Mytilus edulis: one gene and its partners. The protein of the gene in region 3 binds, or shares a complex with, the protein of the main gene of each other region. Links are inferred from orthologs where the notes say so. Each region holds a gene or a part of one and is shown on either strand. Other genes may lie near its edges. The genes, in order: U6 snRNA-associated Sm-like protein LSm5, serine-threonine kinase receptor-associated protein-like, small nuclear ribonucleoprotein F and U5 small nuclear ribonucleoprotein 200 kDa helicase-like.

Region 1 (7,478 bases), on a different chromosome or scaffold from region 3:
GTAGGAATTTTAATATAAGATATTCATGGAATAAATTGAAAAGTACCACCTAGAAACGTGGAAAGTACCAGTCAACATGATAGATAATGAAACCCCTGTCTGACCCTACTGTATGTGGGTTTTTTTATTGTTGAAGGTCTACAGATGCCTATAATTGCTAACATCAACTCTCTGAACTCTGGTGGATAGTTATTTCATTTGGCGATCATACCACATCTCCTTGTTTTATATATATTAAAACCTTGTATGATTGACATGTTCAAATTTTTCAGATTTTTGGTGTTAAACATCACATCTACATGTTGTGTACATGTAGCATTCAGTCCACATGGCTGTATAATGGCACTGCATTTGTAGGTAACATTTGGTCAAAATAGTTGCAGTAACCTGGAAAGAACCACAACCTTAGATAGGAAAAGATTTCATTCAAATGACTTGAGTAGGATTTAACCTCACAACTTCAACATTGAAAAAGAGGGACAAAAGATACCAGAGGGACAGTCAAACTCAGAGTTTGCAAATAAACTGACAACGCCATGGCTATAATAAAAAGACAAACAGGCAAATAATAGTACACAAGACATAACATAGAAAACTAAAGAATGCCATACACAAATTAAACCCCACCATAAACTGGGGGTGATATCAGGTGCTCCAGAAGGGTAAGCAGATCCAGTTCCACTTTTAATGTTAGGGGTTGGATAAACACACAACAATTCATCAAACTTTGTCACTATTGAAATCATGTACATGTACATGTACACATGCTATCATTTGGGATGGAAACCTGAAGACAGAATATGCATCATTTTCTATAATTCAATAAAAAAAAAAGTGGCAGTCATATTCTGAGCACTAAGTAAGATTTATATTTTCTGTTAGAAACAGTATGAAACAACATAATGAAAAAAAAAGTATAGATATTTTTGGCTCAGCATCTTGCATTAAACACAGTGAATACATTTAGAAATACCTTTGGGTTTCAAGGCAAGCATGAACAAATATTGAATTGAAATCATAGTAAAATAGCTATAACTACCCTCTTATTGATATAACTCCATCTTTAGTTGCTTGCTGAGGATGGTGGTTTAAATATAACATCTGAATGCACACATGATATCATTGATACACAAATGTCAGGGGCGTAGCTACCCGGAGGCACGACAGCACGTGCATCCACGTCAAAAAAAAAAAAGCAGAAGAGAGAGAGATGAGTTGGTCAATCGGAATCGGAGACTGTTGGTGTCTTTTCCGTCTATCCCGGATATAAGTTTGACAACCTTGTTACAAGTGTTGATGAAGCTGTTCATTCAGAAAAAGTTCGTAGCTTCGAAGTTGTGTGCACATTGATTCGGCATGCAAAAAAAGAAATGGCAAAATAAAAATTTATCAATTGAATGTTAAAGGAAACAGCTATGTTGTCACTTTTTTTAATTGATGAAATAAATAACTTCATTAAATAACGACATTTGGTTTCAAAATATTTTTTTTTTTGGAGATTATGACAAAATCGGAAGGTTACTTGTATCTTTTAAAAGATTTTTACTTTTGAATTTGTAATGCTCAGTCTAAGATATGTAGTTTTGGAGCACATTTTACAGTGTACAGTTCATCAGTTTGGAATGAGATGTACCAATCGGCATTAGAATTATCAGATCCCTTGGATATCGTTGAAAATATGCCGAGGCGATGTGGTTGACAGACTACCGGAGCCAATCACCCTGCAACCAGGCCAAAACATTATTTTTTGTGTTCATAGACCATATGATAAGGCAACTGGAGAGTGGAGTCGCGTCAAGTTATCAGAAAATCGCTTCTTTGTGCTGTATCTGCTTCATCATGTTGTAGGAAATATCACAAACAAACAAATCTCAATACTGTCTGAAACATACGAAACTGACCTAGCATGTAATTTTGACAAATTCAATTGGGAGGTTGCTCGATGCCGAACACGTACGCTGGTTTATAACATCTCGCGGGTGCTACCATGCCATGACGGCCCTGAGATCTATCAGTCACGGTACTACGTATGTAATTGAAAACAAATGTACGATCAACAATGAACAACGAAAGTTACATAGCATTACTGCATATTCATCGGGATTTCAGTGTGAATGTTGACAAAGTAATAGAGAAGTTTGTTTCTGCCCAGACCCGAATAGCAGATTTTGGACAATTTTGAGTAAATTTTGTATCACAAATATGTGTTGTTTATGTAACTATATTCAGAAGATTTATTAATAGTTTTACATTCATAAATTTTTATCTACATATAGCTCCTCTTATAACCGTCCTATGACCGAAACCCCGAAAAAAAAAAAATTCTGCATAATAGGGTCCCAAAAATTTTTAGCCTCGCTCCACTCAGCAGTAGTTGCATCCACATCGTTTCTTTCGAGCTACGCCCCTGAATGTATCCTGTGTTTTGCCTTCTCTTAGAATTTTTACTGTACTTTACATGTAGGTACAAAATGTAGTTCTACCCGGAAAACACTCAAGTGATTCTATCTGACATCACACACAATATCTGAAAGTATTGTAGGCATCACATTACCCAACGACATTGTTCAAATACAGGGAATGACCATACAGAATACAATGTAGACCTTAACACTATTTGGAAATTTGTGCAGCTTGACCTGAGAATCTGTGCCGCTATGACAATATAGACATATTCACACTTGTATGCAAATTTGTCCGCCATTATGTAAAATCACACAGGTTACCGTAAACTTTGACATCACAATTCAAAATATTTGACCTCACATTTAAAAAAGGCAGGACAGAGATTACAACTAAAAAAAAATGCAGGACAAAATTTTTCATCCTAGCCCCCCCCCCCCCCCCCCCCCCCCCCCCCATAAAAATCAAATGGTAACTCCCTTAGGGCTATGCAGATTTATTGCTATTGAACGAGTAGCTAGCCTAGCTGCTACATAGATATTGATAGCAGCTAGGCTAGCTACTCGTTCAGTAGACAAAAATCTATGTAGCACTACGTAACCCTACGATATTGAACGCAAGTCTGTTGTACAGTTACATGTTTTAAAAATAGAACAAATAACTCAGGGTGGCCAGGTATCATCTATTGATTGCAATATCTCACACTTTCAATATCGATTTCTCAGTACAGGGGTATTGTGCATTGCTGCTGTCGAGATTTTCAATTAATCGGTAGATGAAGGGGGTACTATTGAGGCTAAAAATTCATCTAGAAAAAATGTAAAATACGATCGGGAAAAGCGGAAAAGAACATATCTAGTGACATGGACAGAAAGATTCCCCTGGGCAAGGTCGGCTGTGGCGCCAGGATGAAATTACCGAGACCATGTTCTGCGAATATTGCCAGTGTTTTCCCGACCATCCCAATAAAAGGTCTCCCTTGTATGTGTGGGCAACTAATATAATAATTAAACCACTTGTTTCACACGATAAAACCAATAAACATGTTTTCTCTGCCAGAAAATAAACTAGTTTAAAACGGTGTATAATGTCCCCTTCAAAACATGACACCCACCATGTATTATGCAGCAAACTCTGATTTGTAAGGCATACATGGGCTAGCAGGTCAGTTTTGATGGGCTAGCAGTTCTTCGAACAGGGCTAGTAAAATCCTGCTGCCAATAAGTCCTGGGCTAGTTATCTGTAACAACATTTTTTAACCCCTGCCATTGTGGCGTCATATATTTTTCTATTGTGACGTCAAATATTTACAGGAACATTTTTCTTTGTGATTAGTTCAAAGCCAGTTGAATGTGGGACATCTTCATTATACATTTGTATCTCTTGATTATAGTTTAAGTGTGATTTGGGAGTGTTCACAGAACAGATATATTGCCAGGCCATAATCCACACTACACACCATACAGTTTAATAATCAAACTCAAATGTTTAGATACCAATTTCCAGAGTTTCATATATATGCATGTTTTCCAAACATTCATAAATTATTTTGTTCTGGACAAAAAGTTTATATCAAAATCAAAAGTATTGTTGATTAATTTATAATAAAACTTAACATTAAGACAATTTGATACATAACTTTCAAAACTAGTGTGTTCAAAGCTTAAAACATGAGAAAAATTCAGTTATCTTGCTGTTTGGCATTTATTTTGGAACACGCAATGGACCATGACGAGATAAACTTCATATAAAAACAGTAAAGTTTTCTTTGTTTTTCTGTACCTGGGCGATAATAGCATTCCACTTCTCTCTCATTAGTCACATCTTTTCTGTGCTCTTGATTGTTCATGTCTTTTCGGCCATGAGACGCTCTAATTGCTCTTTACAATAATCAGCATCATTGTGTAGCATCTTCATCTTTTTCGGCCATCAAAATTATTATTTCGGTAGACATCGGATATTTCCGTAGCTTCCGGTGGAATTTGTCATAGTAGGCGTGTTCGACTTTACCGCCATGACTCATTCCTTCTTCTTAAGTATCAAAAACCCCGAGAATAAATTTATTTTTAGTGTCGAATCGGCCTTTTCTTTCGTTATCTCTTTGGCCTTTTCTACTTTGTCAACAAATCCACATGTGAGAAACCCACGATGACAACTTTCTCAAATCCATCTCAGCTACTTCCACTTGGTAATTTGTGCTAAGTGTACGATAATAGATAGTGTATTTTTTACTGGCTTTCAATTAAGGCTGCAATTTTGGAAGCTTGTCATTTCAAACCATAAATGTACAACAGTTTCAAACCATATCTATGACCATATAAATTTTTAAAAAGACCGGTATATAATTTTTCATGTGAAAGAGGTCGAAGTCTGTACAAATACTGTTCCTGCTTTTGTTAAGGGTACACTTTCTTTGACTCAATTGGTTGGAGGCTGCATACTTTTATAGATACTTTTAACTGTAGATCTCATCGAATGATAGTGGGTCTCATAATTTGGGGTCTAAGCGTGACGCGGGATTGCCAATTTTTTGTAAGCGGGACACGTGAAAGTCAAATTATTGTGTCGTGAAAACGGGAAGTAAGGTCTAGCGGGACTCTGGAAATGACAAAAAAAATGAAAATTGCTTACGTACATAGTGTAAGCGGTATACGGAAATCTAACAAAACAGTAAGAGGGATCCTTTGTAATTTGATGGTACATTTCTTCTCTATAACTCTCGTAGTTGGGGCACTCTGTGAGGTAGTCTTGTTGTGTTTCCTTAGTTCCACAGCTGCATAAGTCAGTGGTGTTTTGCCCTGTGCATTGTTTATAGTAGTTAAAGGTTGTATGGCCAGTTCTTAGTTGTATAAAGATGATGAAGTATTTTTTGGTTGGATAATTAAAGATTGGGATGTTTTAAACGTTTGGTGTTATCTCAAAAAGTTCTCTTCCTGTGTTGCTTAATTCCCATCGTCTTTGCCACTTCAGCATGACACTCTTGTGTGCACCTTATTTTACATCTTGAAGGGTAAGTATGTTGTTTTTTTGACAGGAGTTGTGTTGCTTCTTCTGCTGCTTGCTTTGCCAATAAGTCCTCTTCGTCGTTCCTTTGAATATTTGTGTGTCCTGGTGTCCATAGGATGCAAATTTCCATCCATTTAGTTCTTAGGTCCTCGATGTGTTCTCTGATGTCTGGAATTACATCAATATAGGATTTGGGTGCCCAATTTAGTGTCAGGAGTCCTACTGCACTTTGATTGTCAGCTAGAGAAGATCTTAAGTGTGGCGGTGGTTTTGTGTAGTCTTTCCAGTATAAAAAATTCCAGTACCATTACAATTGATACAAGCTCTGCTAGACAATTCGTAACTACATTAATTTGTTACCAAGACGTTTCGTACCGGGTGTTATTATATATGTTCTGGATCATATATACATAAGTATGTGGACCAAACGCGTAATGTGTATACTAACCTTCTGTGTGCATTGAAATCATGATCTTTGGATCATTCTGATGTGTCTACGATGTTTATAGTTGCTCTTGATTTCAGACGAGACCGGAAACATTTAAAAAATGATGAACAATTTAAATTCTTCTGTTCTCTTCGTATGTTTGCATACCTGTCAACTGACCCGTATTCTGCGGGTGTGACCCGAGATTTTCACAATTCTGAGGGATCACCCGGGACACCCGGGACACCCGCCGGGTCATTGAAATAACCCGGGAATTCCGAAAATGAACCGATTTCACCCGTATTTCTTAGCCTTGAGATTGATTTCATAAGTAATATTCCTTTGAAATACCGGCAAATTCGTAATTCAATGAACAGGAAGTTCATCTAGTTATGTAAACTGTCAAATTAAGTGACCAATTAAGTGCATGGCTTCACTTGACAGCTTTGATGTCAAACACACTATTAATTAACACCAATTACCTTAGATTTAGGTCGTAAATAAATTGCCCTGTTGTTTTACAAACATATTTCAACTAAGAGTTATTTCCCCTTATTTGTCACTATTCAAAATTATTCCTTATATTTACGTTTTATGGGTGAAAAAGATTAAATCATAAAAATTCAAATACATATTGAAAAATAACTTTACATTATTTTTATACCTTTATACATTTTTTTTTAAAAGTTGAAAATTATTTTTTACATTTATACTTCCTTTAACTGTATTACTATATTTTATCATAGTCTAATTTCCTTCTGAATTTGATGATGGAATGTTTTAAGGCTACATTGCCAGTAGCCTCAAACATTTTAAGATTACATTTGAAAACTAAATTCTAGTATTTGATGATCACAAAAAGTAAAGAACATAAGACTGTTTTACACAAATTATAAAAGTCTTTAAAATTGCAAATAATTGTTAGGATTTAAAATGACTTAACCAAGTTAACATGCATTGATGTTTTGGTATCTTTGATATACATTAAATCATAAGAAAATGTACCATAAATACTAAAATTCAGCTCGAAAAAGTTCGTACGCGTTATGACCTGAGATTTGATTCTTCAATGCAGGTCATGACCTGCATTTTCATCGTCACAGGTTGACAGGTATGTGTTTGCAAAACTGTACTTGTAAACTTAACAGTGTAAAATCAAATGTGCAATCAATTATTAAAATAAATAAATATAGATAGATATGATATATACATGAACATGATAACATCAATAAGTCTTTTTATCTACATGTATAATAGTCATCACATGAGCATAACTTATGAAAAGATGTTATATAAAAATCTCCATTTCACCTATTTCACTTATTTTTTGCATCCAATATTACATTGAAGTAATAAAAATTTTAAAGAAGAAATTGGAAATATTACGATCAATAGCTCTGACACTAGTTTTTAACTATTTAATTTCTCATTTCAGAACTGGTAGATAAATGTATAGGATCTCGAATCCACATTGTGATGAAGAACGATAAAGAAATAGTTGGAACTTTACTTGGTTTTGATGATTATGTCAGTATCCTTTTGACCTATTTAAAGAACAACTACCTAGGTCATGGTCTATTGTATGTCTTTTAAAGTGTCTGAAAAAAAAAGCTGAATGTCATCTTATCATTACTGACCTAGC
Region 2 (6,849 bases), on a different chromosome or scaffold from region 3:
AATGAAATGGACTTATATGTTTTAAATTGGTTCAAACTGACTAAATAGCTGAAAACTTACGCAGAAAAGTCAGCAGCTCCTGTTGCTGCCTTTGTGGCCTCTTTGTTTAAAGTGGCTCCCCAAACAGCACCTTTGTGGCCCTCGAAAGTACCAATCCAGTCACCAGTGTCCCCTTGGCGTAACATTGGTTTCCCATCTACAAAATGTAGAACAGAAAATAAACTACATGTATTACTAAATAATTACATCATTATGAAGTTGCAAAGAAGGCCTAGAAGATAAGGGATTTCTTTATTTCAGTTATTGCCAACAAATTCAAATGAAACTTTTCCATAGATTCATATCCTATTGTTCGATCTTTTTAAACTTTTGTCAGTTCTATTGTCCCAATGAATAAATTCAATAGCTATTGTTCTCTGTGTAGACATAAAAGGTATGTTAGCAGGGATCTCCATGGATGAAAATTGAACGATGGAGGAACTTTCACCATGTCAAAATCCCGTGTCTATGGCGTGGTGTTATAGAAAACATTTCATTCCTTTATTTTCATGTAAGGAATAGTAACAGGCTGATATACTGCTTATTTTATTTTTTCAATATAGATGTCCACTGTTAAAGTCAGAAATGGTATCGACGATTTGCATCATAAACTACCAGAAATTTCGCTCTTGTTTTGTAAAACGCTGAAGAAAAGATTTGGAGGGCAAATGATTTTTAATGACTTTGCAACACTTATCTTCCGATTCTGAATTGAAACAGGAAGACCAGATGTATCAATATGATAACTTTTCATGATTGTAAAAGTTCTACGGAATGAATTGGGAATTACGATACAAAATTTCTTAAGATATTATCAAGTTGCAATTAATATTCATGTATTTACCATGTTTACTTTCAAACTTGTAAAGATATTAAATATTATTGTCCTTCCCTACCAAAGGTCCTGAAACTGAATGTATTTTGTCCTAAACGTGTAATTGGGATTTAGGTCAAATTTTATTTTCAACAGAAATAATTTCGGTCATTTCATTGAGATCGAGTTTCAAAATCACCATATTGAACATATTTTTGTTTTGTCATCGATTTTATGTAATTACATTATATTCTGCCACTCCAGTAAAGTGTTATAATCCTGGGGGCCCTTCTAATAACTTCAATGTATATTAATGCCTAAGAGAGCTATTGGCTAATGATTGCTAATCTCTTTACCTGTGTTTTTAATTCACACCTGGCTATTAATCACAAGCCCCCAACTAATATTATAAAGAAATTAAAGTTCCATACCAACTGTCTTCATTATTTAATTACTTTTCAGCTAAGACAATTGTCAATTATGATTTAAAATTAAATTAAAACTTGATTAATTTACGTAGAAAAAAGTGTTTTTTCACTACTAAAACACATGCTTTGTTTACTTTGTAATATGCATGCTTGAAATTCTCTTCAACAGATTAGACACTGAATCGTAAATTTAGAATGATTTCATGCTAAATAAAGCAAGTGCAACTATTTTCAAATTTTTCATTAATATTCTTACTGTTAAAGGTAAAATATTAAAAATCTGATGATTTCCTGTAAATTTGATAAACAAAACTAATCCCAGAAATTAGTCCGGAATTGTTCATTTTAGTATTGTCGAATTACATCAGGTTTGATCGACTTTCACCTTCAAAATAGAAAGAAATGTAAGCGATTACTGAGAAAATTATCGTGTTGAGTCATTAAAATCATTTTATTTTTAAACTGTTGCCTTCCCTTAATTGCTCTTGATCGATTTTAGAAAAATGGTAGAATAAATCATGAAGTAAATGCGATGCGACAGTGAAACAAGTTTGTTGATGCTATGAGTATGAGCATACTCATACAGTAATGAGATTTTGACAATCTTTTTTTTTGAAAAGGGGCACCAACTTTTAAGTTATATGAAAATGACCGAAATTAGGTGAAAAAATTTCCAGATCCATGTTCCCAACGCCTATATCACCGTGCTCTGTCGCTTCGTAATTCTTGTATCAAGGCTTCAAAACGAGACTAGGCATTATCAGCGACATCACAATGTGAGAGAAGTTATCAGCGACCTCACAATGCAAGAGGAGATGTTATCAAGCTTGCTTTTGTCAAGCATAATAATGTCTTAGGAACACGAAGAAGTGGGAAAAGACCAGTATTAATAGAACGATAAACAGATAATCAGGTTTTCTTCGTTTAGATGTTGCAAAATATCAGCCACTTAACACAATGTGTTGCGCTTGCGCAGTGCTCACTCACCAAAAAGGTTCCTATTGTTGCTCGCGGATGATATTTATGATGTCAAAATTATACAGGAACCTGTGTGCTGACCAGTAAAGGCGGACACAAATCAATAAGGGATGGGACCTGGGGGAAAACACGTGTAGAGTCAGTGAACAGACCCAATACCAATACAAATCATCATCCTTCTAATATTTTAGGCACCCCTACTAGCCCTTTAGAGTCAGAATTGAACCCAGGAAATTCAGAATTTTAGCAATAGGTCTTTACCACTAGACCACAAAACCCCAGGGAACTTTTTAGTGACTTTCTTGACATCCTGTTATGTACGACTACGCCATGTACGGGCACTTGTTTCTATCCATTGGAAGAACCACTAAATGTACGTTTATAGTGGGTCTTTCCATGGATAGAAACAAGTGCATGTGGTACGTAAATGTACGTTGATAGTGGGTATTCCCATGGATAGAAACAAGTGCCTGTTGGTACGAACGTATTATACGTATAACATATTTCACAATGTTTTACAATAAATCTTAATGATATATACCTTTACATGCACTGATAAGAAAGTAACCAAATGGAGTGATGTCGCTAAAATCCAAGAAGACGACTGGTCTTGTATGGCCACTACAAGTAAGAGGTGTCTGTCTCATTTGATTTGTCATTTTTCCAGTTTCTTTCCTCGAAATGCACTTCCGGTTGTTATTTATCATAAAAACTAAATCAAGCCGGGTTGGATTCCGATTTACGACACTTAACCTCGGACCATAATAACCATCGATCAGTATTAGGTGTTACATACGAGTCTCTTGTAACACTGCATTTCGCTGGGGTTTTATAAAGCGACGTACCATTTGATATTCCTGGGGAGGGGGTTGGGGGTGGGCAGGAGGATTTGTTTTGGATCGGTTCTTTAGTTTGTAAACTAAGACTGGACAGATTATCTATTTTCTGCACTATTGTGCAAGATTTTTCATTTACATTAACATGATTAAAGCAAGGAACTGATTATTTATTTTCACAACTATATTTATGATATTTGAAAACATACAATTTTTAAACATTTGTTTTATTCAAGTCAAGTCATTATACATGTACCATTTATCAGAATTAATCCGGCATCCTCCTCTGCAGAAACGAACCGTTGGGTTCTTTATTTCCAACTGCATACATACACAGTATTTAAAGTATGGTTGAAACTAAGGTCTTTTAAAAGTATTGGCAAACCTGTCTCGCCGAGCGGAGTGAGGCAAAAAAAAATTTGAAGCGGGGTTTTGGAACTACTGAAGGCCCAAGAATCATGCTTTCTCAGACTGGGTGTTCCCCAGATCCTTTCTTAATCTGAAAATTCAAGTTCTGTTTTAGTAATTTTTTGACAATATGTTGGTCTCAAAGAAGTTTCTAGGGACAACATCAAAATACCAATATGCATGATAAAGCAAAAATGTAATTCACATAGTTAAGTCTGTGGCAGCTGTTTTTTTTTAAACTCATGAAAATCACTAAATTACAAAATAAATGCAAAACTAACAGAATACAGAAGGGCAATTAATGAACAAAAGACAAATAATGATAAGAAACATTGATCCCGAAAAATCAAGGGCTACGTCTGAAGGAGAACAGAACTTGACGCGTTCTTGCAAGGCACTCACGGTGAACACAATTTGATATGGAGACAAGCGTTTGGTTTTGAAATTTCCTACATGAGGCATTTGCCTCAATGTAGTTACGGCCCTGTAATAAAAGTATCAACGTATCAACCCTCAACTAATATAATACCAAAGTACAAGAGCTCAAATCCCTCGAGCAGAGCTCTTGTGGATTTTTTTTGTCTCACATGGATATATGTACCAGAGACATATAAGGAGGGGGTCGGAGGGGTCCTGATCCCGAAATCCCGGGCTTAAAAACATGAAATCCCGAAATTCGAAAAAAGAATTCCCGGATCCCGAAAGGATCAATTCCGAAATTCTGAGCTTAAAAACACACGATCCCGGAGTCCCGATAAAGGTCATCCCCTCACATAATACAAGTTGTTGTTTTTTAAACTCTCTTCAACCTAATGTTTTGGTATGGCTTGTATCCTGGTAAGTGGTCGGACGGTTTTGTAAATTAATAGGCTTAGCGGTTAAAAAATTGTGACTTAACAGACCTGAATAATTATCTCCGGACCGATGATCATCTTATAGTACGTGTTTTATCAAAATTGTCTACATCGATATTAACTGAACGATTACTTAGTTATCCGGAGAATTCGAAGGTACAACTTTAAAGAATATTATAAGCCCGAATGTTCGTTTAGAGGGGCTGAGGGCATTTTCAGAGGTGGTTTGACAATTTCTTGGTAGTGAAACAAGGTGACCGTTATCACATTGATCTGTTGTTTAATTTTTTCGTGAATGACGTTATTCAAAGTATTCCAATGGACAATAATACTGTTTTAATGTAAATGGGGGAAAATAACTAATATTTCTAACAAGACAAAAAATAGTCGTTTTCAGAAATGGTTGGCAACCTGTAATTAACCATTTTTTCTCTGACAACCATGAACAAGACTGAATTGTAAATTCATATGCATATTTAGGCGTATTGCTATATTTCAATTGAAAGTTTTTGCACTCACAGAATAGGATTTATCAGCAAGGAACAAAGGCACTTTCTGCCTTATTCAACACTCTCTATGCGGGTTTATATTGACCGAAGTCAAGCATTTTTGTTTGTTTAACATTATGGTGGCCTCTATACTTAAATATGCGTCTCAAATTTGGGGATTTCATCGAGTCAAAGACCTAGAAGTCGTTCATAATCGTTTCTGTCGTTTTATGTTAAAGCTTGCTAAAAATTTACTTATCACCTTATTTTGTGGTGAACTTGGTAATCTACTTGAAAATATGTTCATTTTTAAGGAAACATAGAATTATAAAATTTTTGTTGCATATATTATATATGATAAACCTAATATTGTATATGATATTTATAGCCTCCCTGTGTATGAATTGACCTAGAGAAAATTAACGCAACATTTAGATATATAAAATGTCGCATTTCGAACGATTGTGAAAACTGTGTTAAATATAGAAAATTGAAAAATAATTTTTGTTAAGGAGATAACTAAAATTTTGAATAGCAATTTACTCACTAAACTACGTATTGGAACATTAAAACTGATTATATAAGATCATACGGCTCGTTTTGACAATATTGTAATAGAACTTTGTATATTTATACGAAATACGAAATATTTTATTAAAGAAAGCTCAATTATGAACATAACCATTAATAGCATAGATACAAAAAAGAAGAAAGAAGAAAGAATTTGTCCTTTGTGCCTCATAGAAGTAGAAGATGAATTTCATTTCACTTTAAAATGTACAAAACTAAATATAATTAGAGACCAACTGTTTTCCAAAATTAGTGAAATAGTTCCCTCTTTTTCAAATAGATAAATAATTTTATTAACCAATCATGGTGCCCAAAATTTGAGCTATACAATCAAATGAATTACAAAATAAAGCACAGAAAATGATTAGAATGATTAAAGTACATTTGAATGAATACACATTTACACTAATTAACCTGATATAAACCAAGTTATTGACAAAAAATAGTTGTTATGGGTGCCACTGTGACCTGGAGAAGTATGACTAATGAAGAAAGATTTAAATTTTTGTATACGTGTGCTGAGACTGATATAATTAGAATTATTGTTAAATTTATAAGCGACATGTACATTTCTAGAAATGCTTTATTAAGCACTAAATAACTTTGTGGTACCACCTCCTCATATAATGTTTGTGAATTTGGTATGATATATAGATGTTTGTATGTTTGTGTATAACAAATTTGTATTGTCTTGGTATCAATCCTGTAATTTTGGATTTTAAAACCAATAAAAATTACTTACTTACTTACTTACAAAGAATAACATCTAAAACTAATACTACACAAGTATCAAGGTATATGTGTTCCAAGGGGAGTAACTCTAGTGTAATATAAGCAGCAAACAAAAATTTTACACTTATATTCTAAGTAAAAAACACATGTTTATGTACTCAGCTATACTTTTACATACATCAGTGTCTTCATTACTTAACAACCACATAAACTGAGAATCAATATTTGTGGAATTAGTAATGTTTTTTTTATAAAACAGTTGTAGATTAACTCCTTCCTTAAATGAGAAAATTTTTCACAACTTTATATGATCTTATATGCTGTCATAATAATTGTATTGAAACTGAGTACCATTTTGTTTTAGTATGCCATGCATTTAGAGCATTGAGGGTAACTATAGTTTTTACCATAAATATACTGGTTCATGGTAAACTATTTATTTACTAAATCGGCTTTACAACACATAGGTACAATGAGTAAATATACTAAATATGAATCACAAGAATTAAAAGCTACGTTGTATTTCTTTTACATGTTAGGCTAGCTCAAAGAATTAAAATATGTGTAATTTCTTAATGCAGCATGTAAGTTAAGATTACAAATTATTATTGCAAGGCATCATAGCAGTTGTAGTTCTGTGCTTGTTATGACCTTATTGTGATGTTCTCTGCATGTCTACTGTCATTATTGTGTCTGTCATTA
Region 3 (7,411 bases):
ATACCTGATTAGAACCTCTCCAAGATTGCCTGTCTGAATACCATCAATGAATTCTTCTGTGTTAGCAAGCTAGAAACATAAAATACACAAAGCTTTAGTAAAACTTATCACTTCACATTTCCTTGAAGCTAGATCTACTTATTTTTATCTACATGTACATGTATGAGATATTATAATTCACATCTTGAAAATATCATTACATGTAACTTTTATCAACAAGTTTATCAATAATTCCAAAAAAATGAAACATGAATACTATATAATATATAATAATATCTGATTTAGCATGTTTAAAGGGCACAGCCATTTTTTTTATTTTGTTGGTACGATTTTCATAAAAAAATCAAAGTTAAAACTTTCCACTTTTTATTACATGTATTATTGCCTGACTATTCTTAATTCATTTCACCTAAAATATAAATGACTATACATGTATCTGTGTAGAAGCATTTACCTCAAATATTAAGAATGTGCATTATTTATCATGTTTCAACATAAACAGACAGAAATGATCACACAAAAACTTTAGTCCTGCTTGTCTGTGTTTTAAGAAAAAATCTGTTGTGATTTCAAAAGAAAATTCATAAATAAAAGACAATCAAAATGGATCTTGAAATTTATTTGCACAACAAAAACCAAAGTAAACTAAACCACTCTTTATAGAGAGTGAATTTCCCTTTATTGTCATAATCATGAAATATATTATACTTAACCATTTTGGAATACAGTCACAATGTTTAAAAATAAAATATTTCATGATTATGACAATTTTTTTTCAAGGAGACAAAACTTAAAAGTACTGCAAGGCAAGTCTTCTACATAATGTTTATTGGTGTCTATAAATCAACTGACCTGTAAGTTCATGTAACCATCTACAGATACCAAGTAGCCTTTATATTCCATTCCCCATTTTAGCTTGACCATCACTGGTTTTCCTGTTAGTCCATTTAAAAATGGTTTCGGGTTCATAGGTAAAGCCTAAAAGTAAACAAAATAAAAAGTTAACAAATACACAAAATAGTGTTTATTATATCATACTAAATAAGTCATATAAACAAGTTTGTAGACAGTACATGTTTATAACATTACATGTATGTTCCATAACTTTTTCATCTCTTAACAATAAAAAGTATAATGTAATAAAAAAAAACAGTCAGCTAATTATTATCTTGCATGTACATGTACACAATGTAGGTCCTACATCAACTGACATTTCAAAGCCTTCTTTTGTCTAGATTTATAAAATTGGGTTTAGAACTGAAACTTTTATCTTCCACTGGAAATTCAAAATAGCATAGTTGAACTTTCTGTTTTAGGCTGTTAAGTACATTTATTGACAATTTCTGCAGGCAATTTGTGGTTAAACAAAATGCTCATTTTATAGACAGCTTTTGAATTCATTACATTTCCAGCAATAACTTCCGTTTTAGTAAACATTGTTCGAATGTTTATGGGCATCTTCACTTCCGTTACTATGTTGTGCAAGTGATATGATGCTACAATGTATATTGCACAAATTATTTGGCAAATCAAATTCTTATAATTGCTCAGTGAACAGAATTGCCCAAAATTGTCAAACAGGCTTATTTATAATACACAGTGTTCTAGCCAGGATTTGAAAAGGGTATGGTGCTACATGTAGTTCAAAAAGGGGCAATTTTACGTGTAACTGCCATTGAAAAAAGGGCAATTTTACATGTTAATTAATGTCACTGAAAAAAAGGCAATTATTTAAGCCTCATAATTAATTAGCACATAACTTTTACTATGCATTCTTGTAAATTCAAGTTTCAGTTAAAATGGAGTAATATATTTCAAATTCAATACTTTTGGCAAATTTTTCATGGTTGACTTCATAAATCTATGGTCATGATGCTGAGACCCTTTCAGGAAGCTGTTTCTTTCATATAACATGTATGTAGTTGCTGTTATATTACCAGTCTCACCAATGTATTAACAGATTTTGTGATTTTTTTATACTAGATTGCACTTGATAGATCAGTTAATGGAAGTAAAGATATAATTTTCAAAATATTTAATTTTGAAGTGTATTCAAGTGAAAATAACTTAAAGAAATATTCTAATATGCATTTGCATTAAATTAATTTTTAATCCTTTTACAAAAAGAAACATAAATTTAAAGAATATAGTGTGAACAGGTGGAAAATAAGGGGAAGTAACTTATTTTGTTGATATACACAAATTATGTTGCATGACCTAAAGCTAAGATTATTTGTGTTAATTGACAATTATGTGTTTGACACCAAAGCTGTCAGAAGAAGCCATGCACTTAATGGGTTACTTAATTTGACAGTTTGCACAGGTAGCTGAACTTCTTGTTCATGGAAGATTTACAAATCAGCAGGTCGTCTGAGGGACAGCAGAAAAAAGGCACGGGCGTTGTGCCCTGTTCAAACTTTGTAGCTAGACCACTGATACACCATATCGCTATTTGTCCACCATTACTGGATATCACACAGGTTCCCATAAAATTTTGACGTCATAAACGAAATATCTGACGCCACAATGGATAAGTGATTGTGTACGATGTCAAAAGTTCAAGCCGTCGGGTCAGCCGGGATAATTTAGCGATAAGGTGTATAAACAGATAAACAGACATAGACTAATTCTTAGATTGACATATATTGGAAGATGGACCCATCACTGATAGTATCAGTATTTAGCTCTGCGTCATAAACTATTTTTTGTAGGTTTAAGTGATAAATTTAAATGAAATGCAAGATAATGGTGTAATGCATGTGTTATAGTAGTCTCAAAATGCATACACAAATAAAATGCGCTTTGTTATGACCTCCCCCTTTTTATATGACATCCTGGATTCCCTTTATTTAAAGCGGAATTTCATAGATTGGTCATTTTACAGAAAAGTAGGGTTAATCTAAGAACTGTGCATCGAAGATGATCAGTATATACGTACGGCCATCGTGTGTTTTCTTGTGTGATTCGATTAATAACAACAGCGTGGTCTATTCGTTTCGCCGCCGGTGGTTAATAAATAATAAGAAATTATTAACCCACAAAAAAACGAAACATTTTAATCAAAATTATTCTAAATTTTACACAATACATCAATTTTAGTGAAATTACATCAAAAGAAGCGATTTTAGTTAAATTAACTAGAATTTTATGAATTTAGTTACACATTAATATATGGTAAACTAAAATTCGTTTTGTTTGAAAACAATGAATAAATAAAATATTAAGTTATGTCCCTTGTTGTACAAAAATAATGAAATGGGAGTTGTGTGGTAATTGTTTGAAATAGGTTCAATGCATGAGCTTAAATGCACCTAACTCATTTTAAGAAATCGCAATCTGTATAGGTTAAAAAAAGTTCAAAGTCATTTCATATTGTAGAAGACTAAAAATAACTAGATTTCACTGTGCACTTTTTTTGGTCCTTGCTAAAGATAATGAAATTAACAAACTGTTGAGTTTCAGTTGATATGGTCCACTCAGTGACACAGTTTAAATCTACAATTATTGTCAGGTATCTATTGTCTCTCTGTTGTCCTTGTCAATGTACAGTCCTCTTCAAATCCAGGTTTTTGAAGAGCTAATACTGGTACTGAAAAAAATTTGATGTATGCCTTTTTGTGCTTCTTCGTTACATTTGTTGTTTTTAGTGATTAGGATGATAACACAATGTTGACTGCTGTACCCCTATTTTTTGACATTTTTACCTATTGTGTCTGTTTGTTTTGTTCATGCATCGGTGACAATATAATGGAATTTGATGCAACTGTCATACAAGTGAGAGGTTTAGCTAGCTATAAAACCAGGTTCAATCCACCATTTTCTACATTTGAAAATGCCTGTACCAAGTCAGGAATATGACAGTTCTTGTCCATTTGTTTATGATGCGTTTTGTTATTTGATTTTGCCATGTGCATGATGTGATTATGGACTTTCCGAATTGATTTTCCTCTGAGTTCAGTATTTTTTTTCCCATGAAATAAAATTTACTATTTAAAAAAATGTAGAATTATAGAAAATTGATGAAAATATGTATAAAACTTTTGCTTACTTTTTAAATTATAAAAAATATTGTATCTAATGGGATGCAGGTCGTTTTCTAACTGAGACGTTTGTAACCTTATAATTACAATATATTTATAATAGTGCGAGTCATAAGTAAATGGCCAGTGGAGCATATGAGTACTGACTTTAACAAGCTAAAGGACATGGCTCCAGTTGGTCGTCTACGAGTAGTTCTACGGTATGTTCAAAAACATTGAACAGTCGACAGTGGCCAAATGCAAGTTGGTGTGTGTTTATGCAATCCATCCCACCATTATTAACGACGTAGAGTGATGGCACAACAACCTTAACACCAAAGCTGTCATCGACAACCATTCATTCTATCTTTGACAAAAAAAAGGAGAAAATAATTATTTTTTTCAGCTTGTGTGCCATTTTTAATACTCTACTATTCACTTTATACCTCATTTTGTACCTACTGTTATTACTTTTTATTACCTGCCATTAGTTGTCCTTAAACCATTAAAGTTGTCACCGAGCATAATTACTAATTAGTTTTAATTGAAAATATTGTTATTATCAGGCCACACCAATTTGATTAATAGTTCTTTGGATTTTCCTGCTCCTGTTTTGGAGAAATTGACTTTTCAATGAAAAAAATAATTATCTCTTCTGCAAATTTTTGGGCCGCATGCCGCTCCAAAATTAGTTTATCATTGACATTTTTTTGTTTATCCTTGACATTTTTTTTTCTCATAGATGTTTTTCTTGTGCACATCCATCGATTCAAATGCACGTGTGATAAATAGATTTGTTAATAAAAGGTCAAAAATTAGGATGCCAACATGAAGTTGTGTCAGTTTATTGCAAAGGACAAGTACCATGAGTACAGAGATAATTTTAATGTGCGTATTGTTATGCGTTTACTTTACTACATTGGTTAGAGGTATAGGGGGAGGGTTGAGATCTCACAAACATGTTTAACCCCGCCGCATTTTTGCGCCTGTCCCAAGTCAGGAGCCTCTGGCCTTTGTTAGTCTTGTATTATTTTAATTTTAGTTTCTTGTGTACAATTTGGAAATTAGTATGGCGTTCATTATCACTGGACTAGTATATATTTGTTTAGGGGCCAGCTGAAGGACGCCTCCGGGTGCGGGAATTTCTCGCTACATTGAGGACCTGTTGGTGACCCTCTGCTGTTGTTTTTTATTTGGGCGGGTTGTTGTCTCTTTGACACATTCCCCATTTCCATTCTCAATTTTATAGAGTACCAGTAGTTATGGTATTAAACACACAGTTATTTGAAATGCATTTCGTTTTATTTATGAAGACCTGTTCTAGGAGATAAAATAAAAAATCTTTCGTTAGATGACCACGATCACATTTGTACTCGTTAGATCCATTGTCATCCCCAATCATTGTTTCAGCTGTTCAACAGACATAGTACGAGATCACTCTAACGTCCATCACACATACATCTAATTATATGCATAAGACATGGATCATGTTTTTCCTTTTTTTTCTTTGAAGTAACCCAGTTTGAACATGAAGATAAAGTTTTAAATTGCACAATTTAAAAAAACACATTTTACCGCTCACTCCACTTGTAGAGCACCTGCCTCATCAAAACTCAATTTCTTGAAATATATACAATCAAAAAAATTTCTCTTGCTTGCCCAATATTTTTTGGAGCTTTTGTCCTAAGAAGTACAAATCAAATTGGTGTGGCCTCAAATGAACATTTTGATCATTTTAAGAAAATAATTGTTTAAATTAAACTATTAAATTGATTTAAACTAACAATTTATAACCATATATAATTACACCAGGTACGAAACGCCTCAGTTACAAATCAACGTAGTTACGAATCAACCAGGTATAAAACGACCAGGTTACGAAAAAATTAGCATTCCTAAAAGTGGAAAGGGATTAATATTAGTTACAAAACTTGTTTTCCAATCCACTATAAATAGATATGTTTAAACGAATTAGCATTCCTGTAATTATGTTTTCATGATGTCACAATTCCTCACATTAATGGTGAAAATCAAAATCTCAAAGATATCTTTCTATTTTTCTGTTTCATATATATTTTGGTCAAAGGGTATGGCCAGTGTTTAAAATGCAGTTTAACAGCAAATTTGAAGGAAAAGGAGAGAATATAACCTTTGTTTGTTTGTATGTCCATACATCCCAAAATTGGTTTCTGTTATCTGAATTTAGTTTTCATCAACCAAATGTTATGAAACTTGTATACACTATACACAATGGTTATTACAACAAAACACAGAGCAATTTTAAATTTTGGTGGTGTTACCTTTACTGTTCAAGAGTTATGCCCCCTTACCATTGAAAATATTGCTGAATTTGTCTTTCTCTAACTTAAGTTTTCCTTTACCAAATGTTATGAAACTTATACACAATGTTTATTACCACAAAACTCAGATCAAGTACAGGTTTGGGTGACTTGAGATCACTTCTTTACTGTTCTTGAGTTATGTCCCTTTATCATGTTTATAATGTCACAAGTAAGTGAAGGCATAATCTGTGTCCCTTGGATACGTTCCCAATTTTTTTATTTTTTTAAAGCATTCTAAACTTTTGAAAATATCTAGTTTATGTGTTATTTTTTTTTAATTTTGCACATTTAAGATTGCAAGTATTGGTAATTAGGTTACAATATATGTATATATGCTATTGTTTGAAATTAAGGGCCAAATTTTGGCTGTCTCTGTCCTATATTTTTCAGTTTCCTTTGATATCCCTTTTTGATAATCATATTCAACTTTGTTCTAATTTTGTCTTTGTAGTATTTTTAGCTATGCTGTGCCTGAGGGTAAGAGTGGACAACAAGCAGTTGATATGTTACAGAAAAATGTAGAATTACTAGGAGCTACAAGATCTGGAAACTTTTGTGTTGATTGTGAAACTTACCAGTCAAATTCACAGAATAGTAAGTTATACATTGTACAAAAAAAGTAATTGTTCCTTGAATCATTATTTATGTAAGGGGATCTTATTATAACATGGTTGACATATCTATCAAAGAAGACCACAGAATTTGTTTTTTTTTTGTTGTTGCAACAACTCTCCCATCCTTTTCCTCATTTATTACTCATCTTCAAATATGACCAGATGGTTATTTTTTGTAAGCAACATTATGATGTGTACTACTTGTATTACTAGGCTAGCAGAATTTGTCTATGGTACCCTTTGGATTACCTGGAGTTACCTTTTTTAAATAGTTTCATGTTTCTCAATCTCAAAAAAGTTACAATGTAAGTGTCATTGTTCTCAACTAAAAAATATTTATTGATATTCACTTGTTTTCATTGATAGACCAAAATAAAAAATCTTATTACACTGTAGCAGTCAGCGGAATCTAGAGTGCTCATGCTTATAATCAACC
Region 4 (7,571 bases), on a different chromosome or scaffold from region 3:
AAACAATTCGAAATCTACGTTTTGTATTACGAAATTTCAAAGATTGAAACGATTTTTATTATTTTCAAAAAAGGTCGTTTATTTGTGCAACTCTCCCAAAAATTACTTTCTTTCTCTTCCGGTAATACGAGAGCGAGAATTTTGGTTTAGAGCTAAAATAAGTTTTATACTTCTTTAAAAAGTTATCATAATTGGCTTCAGTTTATGTTTAATCCATTTTATGCATTAAAAGCGTCTTATTCATTCACAATCTCTTGTCAAACAATGTTTATTCTCGGACTCATTTTCGTAAATTTTACTACGGCCGCCATTGCACATTTTTGTGTAAACTACGGATCGGAACCGGACCAGATATGACAAAAATCTGCATTTTCACGATAATGACAACAGATGGACAGTAGACAGAAAAAAAAACCAAGAGAGAAAACTACGCATTACCAGACTATTTGTTAGATAACTTTGTTAAAAATACATATGAATTTGATGTAAAGATAAGAAACAACTGGGACTAATTCATTGAGTGGCATGAAACAATGAATTTCATAAACATGATAAAAAAAGTTTTTAAATTGATTTTTTTGCTTCTTTTGCTACTTTATCTTTACTTGATATAATATAAAAAGCAGTTAATTTTGTATACTAGATAATTTAGTTTTGTATATATACAGGTTGCACTATAATGAACAATTCATTCATTTGACTTATTGTTGGGTAACTGAAACCACATATTTATTTTTATTTGGCACAAGAGGAAAAAAATAATTCTGTAACTATAAATGAACAAAGAAGACATAAACTGAAACAACTGTTTTTGTGGTTATAGTTTAATTGTATTCTCAGTTATGAATTGAACAATATAAACTAAAAAGTAAAGGAAATAGAGCATCAACACGACGCGACAAACGACATTAAAAAAAATACAGTTATTTTTTTTAACGCAAAATGTGATGCTATCCAAAATTTCTGGGGAGAACACTAGTTTAACTAAGAAAAACTCACCCAATAAACGTATTTACACTTTTGGTATTTAGCTGTATCTTGCCTCCGATTGACCTTAGATCGACTCCGAATCACCTTTTGACGTCAAGCAACAATCACTTTTAAATTGTGACGTCAAATATTCTAAATTATGACGTCAAATATTCTAAATTATGACGTCAAATATTTTAAATTATGATGTCAAAGTTTACGGGAACCTGTGTTAATTTATGTAATACACCTTATCGCTATTTGTCCGCCATTGCTGGATATCACACAGGTTCCCGTAAAATTTTGACGTCATAATACAAAATGTCTGAGGCCACAATGAAAAAGTGATTGTTGTATGCGTCAAAAGTTCAAGCCTCCGGGTCAGCCGGGATTAGCGATAAGGTGTATGGCGGACAAATTTGCATACAAGTGTAAATACGTCTATTTTATATAAGTAAAATACGGAAAAACAAGATTTATATTTCACAAATTTACTTCTGCTCTGGATCACAGGTATTTGGGGCATGGACCCCCCTTTTTTGGACCTCACTAAAAAAAAAATTGTTTGGTTTTTTTTTATTTATTTTCAATTTTCTACAATGTATGAACATATATCAAGTCTCAACAATCCATTGCTAGTCGATTGCAATAACTTTTTTACTATCCATACGATCCCCAAGTGAAAAAAGAAGAAGGTAATTACCTTCGATGACTGACCTACTTTCACTTTGGAGGATCAGGTCAGGAAATCGATAAAAATTTCATATAAAACCTCACTTACTTTTCATAAAAAGTACATCCATAGATTCCTGAGATATTTTTCTCGACGTTTAAATAGGTCACATGGTGATCTGCGGAGGTTTTGTGTCTTGTTTTACTGATTTTGTTCTACATTTGTCGTCCGTTTGAACCTCGATGCACGGAAGTGAAAATACAGCGCCATCTGCGTGGTCTTTCGCTATGTTTTTATAACTCCGTTTGACTAAACTGCTTTCCTGTTTTTGGTTACCAGTTTTACAGATGGGTTCCGAATGCAATGTAGCTATAAGAAAAGGTAAGAGATATTCGAAAAAAGTATTTTTGCCGGTCTTTTAAAAATTCAAAAAAACAGTTAACAGGAAAGCAGTTTAGTCAAAAGGAGTTATAGAAACATAGCGAAAGACCACGCAGATGGCGCTGTATTTTCACTTCCGTGCATCGAGGTTCAAACGGACGACAAATGTAGAACAAAATCAGTAAAACAAGACACAAAACCTCCGCAGATCACCATGTGACCTATTTAAACGTCGAGAAAAATATCTCAGGAATCTAAGGATGTACTTTTTATGAAAAGTAAGTGAGTTTTTATATGAAATTTTTATCGATTTCCTGACCTGATCCTCCAAAGTGAAAGTAGGTCAGTCATCGAAGGTAATTACCTTCTTCTTTTTTCACTTGGGGATCGTATGGATAGTAAAAAAGTTATTGCAATCGACTAGCAATGGATTGTTGAGACTTGATATATGTTCATACATTGTAGAAAATTGAAAATACATAAAAAAAACACCAAACAATTTTTTTTTAGTGAGGTCCAAAAAGGGGGGTCCATGCCCCAAATACCTGTGCTCTGGATGCTATCTTGTGATCATAAACAAGCATCTGTCCAAGTTTGGTAGAAAAATAATTAATCCAGGATGGTTGAAGAAAGTTATTAAAATTTATGGTTCATCCCGAAGTTGGTTGTCATTTCTAAAAAAAAATGCAATCAGTCAGTAACGTTTATCATAAGACATAATTTGTCTGGGCCATTTATCAAATTAACTTACAGCCTTGTACTCATATTGAAGCGATCTGGCCGCTGCATCAGCCATATTCCCTCCGGTTGATCCTTATTTAAATAATTTAGCGTTTGTTTTCTATTCCATGCGGCTACGTTTGTATTTCGTTTCGCTTTTGTTCAAGACGCTAGATGGCAGTACACTTCCGGTTTAAAGTTCCGGATAGTTTTTTCTTTTTTGTTCTGTATAACTCAACTGTTATATCCCTCCATCAAACTGTTTTATTCTGAAAAGAACAGTGAATCCTTCAATAAAATTATTTCTCATTTTTTTTCCTCTCCAAAGAAAGTCAATATGAACGATAAAAAGCTCTTCTATGTTTTTTTTCCGTGTTTGATTTAAAATTAGAATATCGTGCCGGTCTCACTAATTAGCGACAACAAGCGTCAACAAGCGACAAGAAGCGACAACAAGAATTATTTTAGCGACAACAAGCGACAAGAAACTATTTAGCGACAAGAAAACATTTTTTTTTAATTAAAATAAATTATTGCAATAAATATTAAAAGAATATGCAAAAGAAAATAATTTTAGCGACAAGAAAGTTAAAATTGATAGAAAAAAATGAAACATTATTTACATAATATTTTATCATCTATTATGAATAACAGCCAGTATTACGTTTAATTATTGTATTATGAGATTACTTTTCCCAAGGATTTGTATAGTACTATACAAATCCTTGCTTTTCCATTGTTCCATTGTAAAGAACATGTTATTTATCTTATAATTTGTTTTTTAAAACAATGAATTATACTGTTAGAATCAAAATATTATATTCCATTATGCCCGCTCCATATATATCGCCATTCGTTTATTCATACTTTGACTTTGATGAAAAAAGATACTTACATTATCTCATGGTGGGGGGGGGGGGGGGGGGGGGTAACTTCGATATTTTTTTGGTAGGGGTGTGCCATTTTTGTCTCAAAAAACGTACCCATTTTAATATAACATTCACTGAAATTCAGTACCTATAGTTATATAAATATTTAAGAAAGAATGACATATACTTATATACAATATTTAAAATATGACCCATGCTTATATAAGCACTAACTCATCATCACTCATAATTCATAAATATACCAGCTACCCTTAAGTTTTTATATATGAATTGAAATCGTTTGGTGCACATATCAATAGCATATTTATATATGATATGTAGATCATACCCCAAATCAATATACAATTATCAAACGTAAATGCATTTTAATATAGGATGTCATTAAAAAGGAGGGTCATTTTTATATAAAATCTCGCAAAATTATGACCCATATTTTTGGCACATCCCCGTATACCCAATAATAGGAAGTTACCCCCCCCCCCCCCCCCCCCCGTGCATTATCTTATACATAATTTTTTTATTCTTCATATTTAAAAATAAAAAAAAGAAGCTCAATCTCTTTCTTCTTCACAAATGTTAAATTTCTTCATCTAACAATATAATAAAACATTTTAATTGAGACATATCTGCTCGTATATTTAAAAAAAACTATTAAATACAAATTTCTTTATATCTAATAAAAAAAAATGTTTTCTTGTCGCTAAATAGTCTTCTTGTCGCTTGTTGTCGCTAAAATAATTCTTGTTGTCGCTTCTTGTCGCTTGTTGTCGCTTGTTGACGCTTGTTGTCGCTTTTTGACGCTTGTTGTCACTAATTAGTGAGACCCTATCGTGCTTAAAATCATTCAAACGTTTTATAAAACTGATGTCTACATTTATTTTAAAGCTCAAATCTAACACCGACAAATCGAGAAAAAGAAAGTACAATAATTTGCAGGTATGCTATTTCAGGGACAGTCATTGGCATTATATTGCAAGTCACATAGTCCAAACTATTGATTCAAAATTATTGAAAATGATTAGTACAATTAAACAGATATATGGTATTTTGATGCCAAAAACAATTCAATAACTGAATAAACTTTGGGTTACAATGTCAATATAAGTTTGTATTTTCCTTCTTCTTCTTCTTCCAGGTAAGGAACCGAATTCAAATCTTGAATGTATGAGGTCCCTCAAAAACTAATGCAATGTCGGACAACACAGAAAGTTTTCTCTTGGCTATTTACAGGATAAAACGTTCTCTATATATATACAATTAAAACTATGTACAGGATGTTACTGTCTAAATTTTAGCAGAGCATGCCTTCAGGGCAGCTCTGAATCCATCAACTGTGTCAGCTGATGTTGCGGATGTTGGCAGTTGGTTCCAGTCTCTAATGGTCCTTGGAAAAAATGATTGTCCGAAGGCGTCTGTTGTGGCCCTTTCTTGGAAGAAGCTGTTTTTACCTCTGGTCCGGCTATCGTTTGTCGTTAGATATCGCTCTTTGTCTGCCATAATTACTGGAAATCACTCAGGTTCCCTTAAAATTTTGACATCATAATACAAAATATCTGACACAACAATGGAAAGTGACTGTTGTATGACGTCAATAGTTCAAGCGGTACAGATTCTCTGGTCAGCTGGGAATAGCGATAAGGTGTATTGACCAGACAATTTCCTGGGTATTACAAGAACTAATTAATATCCAAAGGACAAATTGATTTACCATCGAAAATATGGTATTATAGTTCTTAAAATAATATCAAAGTATATACATGATATAATTTTAAGTTTTTAAAATTTTTTTTAAAGTTTTTAATTTTAAGTTCACAGACTTAGACAGATAAGAGCTACTAAGGAAGTATACAACAACTCCTTCTTCCCACGCTCTATAAGAGACTGAAACCTTCTGCCAGACACAGTAGCAGCTGCACCAACACTCGAGGAGTTCAGGGCCAGATTAGCCAGTGTGCCCTGGACCCAGATGCAGCCTAACTAGACATCAGCCTGCCAAATTGTACAGTGTATATATAGTTTTAATTATTTGTTAATATTTACTTTTAATCAATGGAGAAGCCTCCTGTTTTACCGAGCGGAGTTAGTAAATCACTCAAATATGAGGTCAACTCCTTAACGGAAGAAGAAGAAGAAGTTATTAGTCGTGTTTACTCAATAAAGTGCAATTTAACTTCAGTGAATTGATAAGCATGTCTTGTAAGTTATATGCAAATTACTTGTTGAAAACAATATGGCAGACGTAATTATCCAAAAGGTAGACAACTTAAAAAATTTGCATACCAATTGCAAGGGTTCAAATTAGCGGTGGTCTGAGGTCCGTGACATTCCACTTTTGCAATCAGACCTTCGTTTTGGTTACTACCTACGACCTACGGACCTTGGACCTGAAGGAAAATAAAAATAATCTTTGCCAACCTTTTTAACCAAAATTTCCAAACGATCTCAAAATTTATTTTCATCTTTATTATTTATGACAGCAATGTTCATTTTGTTCAACCACTAGGGTTATACTGAAATTTAACCAGCAGTAATGTGTAAAACCGACCAAAATCATATCTGACTGACAAAAACAACATTGAAAAACAATGGATGCCATAAAACCGGAAATGCAAAAAATTACAATACTTTATCAAGTTCCTGGATGGATAAGGGTAATTCCAGGTTTGCCGATCAAAATGATACTTCCAGGCAGGGGATGAAATACATCTATGATGATGAAATATAAACATTAGAATTGAAAACTAAAAGATTTAGTTCTGAACATGCTAAATGAAAGAAAAAGCAGAAAATATTTTATGCAGAAACTCAAAACTACTTTTAGTTCACGAATGCTCATGTCAAAATCCAAAAAACATGTGACAGTAATTTTCTTTATCATTAGTACATGTAAATGTTCATATTCCATGCAGATTTTTTATAGTGTAAAATATTACTACAATTCCAAGAGGTAATAAATTTCTTGTAAATTTGAAGGGCCAGTAAAAATCTAGAAGTTTCTTACTGTTTACAGATGTATAATAGCGTAACTTGATATAATACACTTAAACAACTTTGAATTTGAAATGACTGTTTGATATAAAAGTTTAACTAGTATTTAATTACCCATGGTTGAGACAACACCCACCCACAGTGACACCCTCCCAAATACCTAAAAAGAAAGATTATTTGAATTTATAAAATACAAGCTGAGATAATTACATTTATTAATAAACATGTCATGCAACAGTGATTTTGACAATGTCAATGAAACAAGCTAAAATTAACCTTACATCAAAAGCATGTCATCAATTTTGTATCTTACTGAGTTAGGAAATATATCAAGTAAAAGTAGGACCTGGAATTTAGGTTGTGGACCTTCCAGTACCAAATGTTAATTTGAACCCCTGAATCGATCTCTTGAAGATAACTTGTATTTATATTGAGTATTTACGACTAAAAAGTTTCAGACCTTGTAATTATACAAGTTTAAGCAATATAACACAATATAAAATCATGTTTTTGGGACAAATCAATTTGTCCTCGGGATATTAATTTGTTCTGTAATCCTCAGGAAATCATGGTACCCAGAAGACTGTATGTTTGTATCTATGATCAAGGATTTGTAAAATAAGACTACATACTATACAAATTCTTGCTACAATGCAGCTACATGTATTTAGTACTTATATATTTTATATAAAAATGATCTACATTTAACTTGTAGAATATTAAAGAGAGTTTTAATGAGTTTCAATGGGTGCAATAAGTGTAACTCTTGTTCCTCTTTCTGTCAATCCACCTTTCAGTCCTACCCATTTTACATTGTACTAAATTTTTATGCTAAAGTTTTCGTCATCTTACTTATATGAAACTTAAGCACAAAACTTGCAGCCATAGTTTGAATCAGGGCAGTGAATCACTTACTGTTTAAATTTGAAAATTGAAAAAAAATCCTTCAA

Evidence for each region.
Region 1: small nuclear ribonucleoprotein F (region 3) and U6 snRNA-associated Sm-like protein LSm5 share a complex: the UniProt entries of both Homo sapiens proteins name them as parts of the U4/U6-U5 tri-snRNP complex. The link is inferred for Mytilus edulis from reciprocal best matches to the Homo sapiens genes SNRPF and LSM5.
Region 2: small nuclear ribonucleoprotein F (region 3) and serine-threonine kinase receptor-associated protein-like share a complex: the UniProt entries of both Homo sapiens proteins name them as parts of the SMN-Sm complex. The link is inferred for Mytilus edulis from reciprocal best matches to the Homo sapiens genes SNRPF and STRAP.
Region 4: small nuclear ribonucleoprotein F (region 3) and U5 small nuclear ribonucleoprotein 200 kDa helicase-like share a complex: the UniProt entries of both Homo sapiens proteins name them as parts of the U4/U6-U5 tri-snRNP complex. The link is inferred for Mytilus edulis from reciprocal best matches to the Homo sapiens genes SNRPF and SNRNP200.

Annotation. Positions count from the first base shown.
Region 1 is NC_092357.1:54,417,709-54,425,186, reverse strand, and holds the start of U6 snRNA-associated Sm-like protein LSm5, read left to right. Parts: upstream 1-4,455; 5' UTR 4,456-4,551; coding exon 4,552-4,591; intron 4,592-7,271; coding exon 7,272-7,367; intron 7,368-7,478. Other genes in the region: kalirin-like, read right to left, coding at 4,186-4,252. UniProt on the Homo sapiens protein: Plays a role in pre-mRNA splicing as component of the U4/U6-U5 tri-snRNP complex that is involved in spliceosome assembly, and as component of the precatalytic spliceosome (spliceosome B complex).
Region 2 is NC_092353.1:16,536,604-16,543,452, reverse strand, and holds the start of serine-threonine kinase receptor-associated protein-like, read right to left. Parts: upstream 3,023-6,849; 5' UTR 2,967-3,022; coding exon 2,801-2,966; intron 197-2,800; coding exon 61-196; intron 1-60. UniProt on the Homo sapiens protein: The SMN complex catalyzes the assembly of small nuclear ribonucleoproteins (snRNPs), the building blocks of the spliceosome, and thereby plays an important role in the splicing of cellular pre-mRNAs.
Region 3 is NC_092344.1:16,047,574-16,054,984, reverse strand, and holds the start of small nuclear ribonucleoprotein F, read right to left. Parts: upstream 3,028-7,411; 5' UTR 2,945-3,027; coding exon 2,939-2,944; intron 979-2,938; coding exon 853-978; intron 70-852; coding exon 5-69; intron 1-4. Other genes in the region: mediator of RNA polymerase II transcription subunit 20-like, read left to right, coding at 4,206-4,240, 6,813-6,955. UniProt on the Homo sapiens protein: Plays a role in pre-mRNA splicing as a core component of the spliceosomal U1, U2, U4 and U5 small nuclear ribonucleoproteins (snRNPs), the building blocks of the spliceosome.
Region 4 is NC_092347.1:15,196,523-15,204,093, forward strand, and holds the start of U5 small nuclear ribonucleoprotein 200 kDa helicase-like, read right to left. Parts: upstream 3,013-7,571; 5' UTR 2,820-3,012; coding exon 2,775-2,819; intron 1-2,774. UniProt on the Homo sapiens protein: Catalyzes the ATP-dependent unwinding of U4/U6 RNA duplices, an essential step in the assembly of a catalytically active spliceosome. Plays a role in pre-mRNA splicing as a core component of precatalytic, catalytic and postcatalytic spliceosomal complexes.